Linked DNA regions of Saccharomyces cerevisiae S288C. The gene in region 1 interacts genetically with each later gene. Each region holds a gene or a part of one and is shown on either strand. Other genes may lie near its edges.

Region 1 (3,758 bases):
GTAGCAAGCATATGACCTGGGGTAAGTTCTACCACTTCTTCTAATCCGATAACATAAAGATCAGCCATTTCATCCTCCTTGGACATTGATTTTGGAAATATCCAATCTTTTATATCATCTTTTGGAATTTTACCACTTATATTAAATGTACCTGCAAAAATTGAGATGTCTTTCTCAAACGTATATTTTGACCTTAATTGCTTTAAATACTGAGAGATGTAGATATGGAGCGGGTCGTATAATCTAACTCGGGAACCAAATAACTTCGAATAAACCTTTGTATATTTACCAGAATTCTTCGTGTGCTTAGTATACGTTCGATCAAGCCAGTAATAGTTTTCTGACCATAGCTTATCATGTGCGTCCAAGAATGGGGAAGTCAATTCAAATACATCAATTTCATTTGTGGTTAATTCAAGTACCTCCTTGCTCACTAACCTTTCAACTGTGTTAGGTTTTTCAATTGAATCAAATGCGCTTATTCTTAATACCCCCGTTTGTTTTGCAAAGTAGATGCCCCTAGAGATATCATAGGCAAACGCTCCAAACTCGTAAATATCCTGTTTTAATAAATAAAGTAATTTGTGGGGAGACTTTGTCAGAACGCTTGAGCTGTATTCTATATTTGTTATTTTTATTCCCTTTGATTCAGCACAATCCTTGTACGTCAGTGCTAACTTTTCTTGTGATTCGCTTTTAGGTTTTATGATATTAACGATACTCACAACACCATACTTTGAGGTTAAATTATCAAAATGCCTGTCAAAAGCTCCCTGAGCTTCAATAGAATCTTTTGTTACCTTAATTTTTTTTCCATACAACAGTTGACTTTCTACAGATTCCCAAAAAAGAGGAATGCTTCCGTTCACTTGAGTATAAGAAAAAATAAACTTTTCTGTGGTTACTACAATTTCTGTCTCAACAAATAGCGACACTCTCCCATCTTCACTAATACCCTCCAATTCTAGCGTATCCTGCTTGCTCTCAGTCGAAATTCTGGAAATAATGGTTATAGAGGCTGTATTTGGGCCGTCTTCTATTAATGCTGTCTTGCAATAACCCCGAATTACAAATGTTAAGAACCCTGCGTTGGCAAAAAGTTGTTTCTCCTCATTTGAAATCTTGCTTCTCCAGTTGATTACCTCACTTGCTAAGTTAGCATTCCAAATAAATGATAAATCTTGATTATCTACGGTATATTCTAAGTTATGTGATAAACCATGGTTTTTCACGATATTAGAGATGTCGAAATCTCTAGAATAGTAGAATGTTCCATCACTAAACAGTTTTTTCAGGGGGCCGCAAGGATGCTCATGAATCAATTTATCATAGTTTTGCTCTGATCTCTCGCAGAGGAGGTAGTCGAAAACATCATTTTCTAAGCTGTAAAAGTCAACATCCAATACTTTATAAATGCTCTCCGAAGGCCTAACTTGATGATCTATCAGTTTCCATCGAGGAAACCCAACATTCTGAACACCAGATATGACGGCAACATATATATCACCATTAAGACAAACGAGCCCTAATAATCCATTAAATATGCAACTTTTGACTTCGAGATAGTTACTATCACTTGAAAGATCTGTGTCAGGGTAGGACTTGATTGTTACGCTAGGAGTTTTACTTAATTGACGCTGCTGAGAACTGGCACCTGGTATGCTGCGCAAACGCTGGAAGGATAAACAGTAGTTGTTGGAAGATATTACAATCGACCGTGATCTTCTACCGATGAAGAGTCTCATTGTAGTGAAATGTGCTTCGAATTCATACGATTAACACAACTTTATCAATATTTGCTGACTTAATCCTAGAATGAAATAGAAAGGCTATTTGATTTGTGTAGATATTTGTTCCAACTTTCCGGTTTACAAATGTTTAACAAAGGGATTCGTTTAGCAATTAGGCAATGCTAAACAAGAAGGAAAACAGGAAACCCTGAAGGAGATAAAACGACGTCAAGAATAGAAGATAAAAAAAAAGGGACATTAACAGGTTATATTGAAACTCAATTCCTGCCTAACCTTCTAAATTGAGAATTTAGAAACGGTATCGCTTATTCTGAATTCCTAAAACACCCATCCCTTTTAAGTAAAATAATAATACGTGGACTACGTAGATGTGGACACTCAATTTACTTACTATTCTCTATGGTCATATTGACAATAAACAAAAATACAAGAAAAAAAAAACTACAGGAAAGATTTGTCATAAATTGTACACTACCACTTGAAAACGACCTTTGGCATATTTATGGCAGATAAATTAATGGACAAAAATTTTGAAGAACTGTGCTATTCATGCCGCACTGGTGATATGGACAATGTTGATAGATTGATTTCCACGGGAGTAAATGTGAATAGTGTTGACAAGTTTGACAATTCGCCACTTTTTCTGGCTAGCCTTTGCGGGCATGAAGCAGTCGTGAAACTTCTTCTACAGAGAGGAGCCGTCTGTGATAGAGACAGATATGAAGGAGCTCGATGTATTTATGGAGCATTGACCGATACTATCAGAGATACCCTTTTAAGTTATGATATATCCAAGGCTGTAGATGTCAAGCAACCCTTTGCTACTCATATCTCATCGATGTATAATGACGAAGGCTTCCTTAAAAGAGATATCACATTCAGAGTTTCGAATGGAAAACTGTTCACAGCGCATAAGTTCTTATTATGTGCAAGGAGCGAAATTCTAGCAGAAAAAATGGTGAATGAGTGGGCAAAGCATGAAATTGTTTCTCTTGAAGTGCGCCCAGATATATTTGACATATTTTTGAAATTTCTTTACTTAATTCCGATCCTGCACCAAATTGAACCGGGACAATATGAAGAACTTATAGAGCTATCTAGTAAATTTGATATTGAGTTATTGCCCGAATTTTTAGACAAAGCAAGGCATACCGCCGATCCTACGGAAAAGTCGAGGTTAATGTCAGATTACCAATATAAGTTTACCGAGGTTGCAAGAAGTCAACTTTTAATATTTGTGAACAATTGTATCTTTAGATCTACTGTTGATCTTGCTAATAGTGAACGACGAGTTTTTTCCTTGATGAACTGTCCAGCTTATCCGGATGTTCAACTTATGGTAAAAAACCGAAATGGAGCCATTCGAATATACCCTTGTCACCTGGCTGTTTTGAGCCGCGCAGAATATTTCAAGGTGATGTTCACAAACAACTTCAAGGAGAAAGTTACATATATCAAAGCCAAGCACGTTACAGGAAAGTATAATAGTATCATTCCACAGCTGACATTACCCAATTGTGAGTTTGAGGTTGCCGAAATTATTCTCCGCTACTTATATGCAGATAATACAGACATTCCTTGGATGTATGCCGTCGATGTTTTGTTACTTGCCGATATACTTTTAGAAGACCGCTTAAAAACTATCGCTTCTACAATTATAACACAATCAAAAGAGTTTATTCAGCAATACAATGTTTTTGACGTACTCTATTTATCATGGGAAATAGGAGTGGAACGCTTAGAACAATTTGCAGCTAAATTTATAGCTATACATTTGCAAGAGTTATATAAAGATCCAGAGATTAAAAGGGCAATTATGTTGAGTTCACAACGAATTTCTCTCCGCCAGGAAACTGATACTATTGAACTAGTGGATGACATTAGGTACTATTTGCTCCGAAAATATTCTTTTGAACCGGATGATGTGGAGCTGTTCGAAAACCAAGACGATTTAGAATACCTAAAACAAGTAGGGTATTTGGAGTACAGAAAAGATATGGGTATGTT
Region 2 (3,756 bases), on another chromosome or scaffold:
ATATCTGTTCTTTGTTCTCTTCACCATTAGAACCATCCCCCGTCTCGACGGGTTCGTTGCCAGCATCTTGCTTTTCGTCTTCGTCTTCATCACCAAACAGAGAATCCATATCGTCATCTGCATTTTCATTCTCTTTACCACTGTTGACGTTACCGGACACATCCACGGACGAGTACAGCGGCCGCATTTCCAAAGATGACAATTCAGACCTTGATTTTTTAAACTCATTAACTATGTCACCCGTCTGCAAATCCCATTCCAAAAGACGCTTATCCCAGGAACCACTCAAAAACCTGTCCTCTTGACCGTTTAATCTCAGTATGTTAACGATTTGGGTATGTCCATTCCTGCCCTTAAAATAGTGCGCAATGCTCCCCTCCATGTAGCGAACGCCCTGCATGGTAATCCCACCATTCTGTAGCCCGCTCAGTATAAAGAGGCATTCGCTTTGGACTTCCAAAGAATGAACGGGGCTAACTTTGGGCTCGTAATCTGTCTTATTAGCGGAGAGTTTCATTTCTGATTTTTTCTGCGGGATCTCATTTTCCCAGTACGACTGCAAGATACCCGCGTTCTGAATAGACTCAGCCAACGAATGCTTCTGCAGGATAGTTAGAGAAAGTTTCCCCTCAAGCGTGTTCAGCAAGTCGTACTTCCTTATGTATCCATCGCTACCGCCCAAAAACAGGTACTTGAGACCCCTGGACACGGCCAACGCATTGACGTGCGTCTGGATGGGTATGGCTGCCGTGGGGTAGATATTGTACGAATCCGCAATCTGTGCGGCATTCAACATGTGCTTATAGTACTCATAAACCTCTCCATTAGCAGAGGCTTCGTGTGTAGAGGAAGATGCTTCCCTGGACCCCACTCCTCCATCAACATCGCTCAATTTCACATCCTCGGATCCAATCTTAGTAACAGCATCGCCACTATCGCCTGCACCGCCAGCACCAGCAGCAGCAGCCTTTTGCTCATCATGCTGGTGCTCATTCGTCGGTGTAGCAGTCTTATCCATTCTTGCGGCGTCGTCCTCACCATCGTCGTCCTCCTGTTCATCGTCGTCCTCTCGTTCGTCCTCGTCATCATCATCGTCCTCATCATCATCATCGTCATCCTCTTCATCTTCACCACCGTCATCATTCCCCTCGAGGTCCTGCTTTGAGTCGTTTTCCAGCCCACTCAGCATCTCTTCGTCATCCTCCTCGTCATCCACCACCTGGTTGTTAATTAGAATATCGTCAACCTCGTCCATTACGTAAAAGAAGAAAAAAAAAAAAACTGAGCCTTTAGTACACTACAGTTACTGCTACAGCCTTTTACAGCCCAGCATCTGGCACCACTACGCTATAATATATGATGCGTCTATTATGCTAGAATCCTTCCTGAAAGGGCATTCTGGAAGCCCTACGTACAGAGTGACAATATATTAGGGCATCCATAAAAATAGATTAGGGCAGCTCTGCCATTTTTTTCATAGCCGAAAGAAGAAAAACTGAAAAAAAAAATGATACGAAAAAACCGCGAAACGACGCCTTTTGTTGCGATTGTCGGGCATCGCAAGTTACGACGCGTTGTCCCTTGCATCGCTGCCGTGTGGCACGACCCACTGCGGCCTAAACGACCGAGATCGGTGCCCGGGGCAGACCACCCGAAAACTCCCGGGCATTATTTCGGTCGTTTAGTTGCGCCCCAGGGCAACCGGGGTGTATACGAGGCCGATGGCTGCGATAAACGAAAAATTCAGGCTCGTATAAGTGGCACAATAGAAGGTGAAGAAGAACAGCAGGTGCATTGAAACAAGAGGTTCAGCAGCGATCGGGTATTGTTGTTGCTGCTATTATGTAACGGTCGAAAGAAACATCGCGGTATATATTAGAGGCGGATTTCTATCTTTCTTATCAATTCGTTTTTTCATTCACTTGTTCATTCATTCTTTACATTTGTCTTGTTCTTTGAAGTGGTTGCAGAGGAGGTCAGTTTGTTGCATTTGTAAAAAAAGATAATAAGAAAAATATTCGTCTAGATTTGAGATATGGATTTGGTCTTAGAAGTCGCTGACCATTATGTCTTAGACGACTTGTACGCTAAAGTTCTGCCCGCTTCGTTGGCAGCTAATATTCCTGTCAAGTGGCAGAAATTGCTAGGGTTGAACAGTGGGTTCAGCAATTCTACGATTTTGCAGGAGACTTTGAACTCCAAGAATGCCGTCAAAGAATGTAGAAGGTTCTACGGGCAGGTGCCATTCCTGTTTGATATGTCGACGACGTCTTTTGCATCGCTATTGCCTCGTTCCAGCATCTTGAGAGAATTCCTCTCACTATGGGTTATTGTTACGATCTTTGGTTTACTACTTTACTTATTCACGGCTAGTCTCAGCTACGTGTTTGTGTTTGACAAGTCGATTTTCAACCATCCTCGTTACTTGAAAAACCAAATGGCAATGGAAATCAAGTTGGCAGTCAGTGCTATCCCATGGATGTCGATGTTGACCGTTCCATGGTTTGTTATGGAATTGAACGGCCATTCTAAACTATACATGAAGATTGATTATGAAAACCACGGTGTAAGGAAGCTCATTATCGAGTACTTCACTTTCATCTTTTTCACTGATTGCGGTGTGTATTTAGCGCACAGATGGTTGCATTGGCCAAGGGTCTACCGTGCTCTGCACAAGCCTCATCACAAGTGGCTGGTCTGCACACCTTTCGCATCTCATTCTTTCCATCCTGTAGACGGGTTTTTGCAATCCATCTCGTACCACATCTACCCATTGATTCTGCCATTACACAAGGTTTCTTATTTGATTCTGTTCACTTTTGTTAACTTTTGGACTGTTATGATTCATGACGGTCAATACCTATCAAACAATCCTGCCGTCAACGGTACTGCCTGCCACACGGTTCACCATCTATATTTCAACTACAACTACGGTCAATTCACCACTCTGTGGGACAGACTAGGGGGTTCTTACCGTAGACCAGATGACTCATTGTTTGATCCTAAGTTAAGAGATGCTAAGGAGACCTGGGACGCTCAAGTTAAGGAAGTTGAACATTTCATCAAGGAGGTCGAAGGTGATGATAATGATAGAATCTATGAAAACGACCCAAATACCAAGAAGAACAACTGAATACGGTTGCCTTGTTTGTCTCATCTTTTTTCTTTCTTTCACGTTCAAGAACTTTCACACAACGAATAACGTTTATATATTTATATACACATACATGTTTTAAGATACGCATATCATTATGATGTACACCTCACGTTAGTGCAATATGCGCTATTCGTATATTAAATTTTTGCGTTCATTTAATGGCTCTTTTTCCTATTCTAGTGAAAAAAAAAACAGAAAATCGAAGAGCTGGAAAATTTAAGAACAGGCAAATAGGAAGCTGGAAGCTTTAAAATGCCCAAGATTTCGGTGAAGCGCAAGTGTTAACTAGAAAAAGGCCGCCACTACTCTATAAGCAAAACCTTATGTCCATAGCGCGATTAGTATACTCTCTTTTCAGAAGAGTACGATCGGTTCTCTTACTTTTCATTACCATATCGCTATTGTTTTACTATACGTTCCAGAATGAAATCGATATCTTGAATTCGTACGCTTTAAACGACTCACTACCGTCCATAAACAACTATGAGCACAATACAGAAGGTTCTTCGAAACTGGATCCTCCAGACCTATCGTCAACCGGTTCTGACCGAATAGCCACCGACAAGGAAAATGGCAACGTTGCAGTGGATTTGTCAGAT

What was found.
Region 2: mutations in INP51 (region 1) and ERG3 together harm fitness more than expected from each alone (negative genetic interaction), as found in Saccharomyces cerevisiae (5 studies listed by BioGRID, with this or other methods).

The regions. Positions count from the first base shown.
Region 1 is NC_001141.2:351,687-355,444, forward strand, and holds the start of INP51 (phosphoinositide 5-phosphatase INP51), read right to left. Parts: upstream 1,746-3,758; coding exon 1-1,745. Other genes in the region: YIL001W (uncharacterized protein), read left to right, coding at 2,254-3,758. UniProt on the Saccharomyces cerevisiae protein: Controls the cellular levels and subcellular distribution of phosphatidylinositol 4,5-bisphosphate (PtdIns(4,5)P2).
Region 2 is NC_001144.5:251,826-255,581, forward strand, and holds ERG3 (C-5 sterol desaturase), read left to right. Parts: upstream 1-2,035; coding exon 2,036-3,133; downstream 3,134-3,756. Other genes in the region: SAGA complex subunit SPT8, read right to left, coding at 1-1,255; putative mannosidase MNL2, read left to right, coding at 3,481-3,756. UniProt on the Saccharomyces cerevisiae protein: C-5 sterol desaturase; part of the third module of ergosterol biosynthesis pathway that includes the late steps of the pathway. ERG3 catalyzes the introduction of a C-5 double bond in the B ring to produce 5-dehydroepisterol.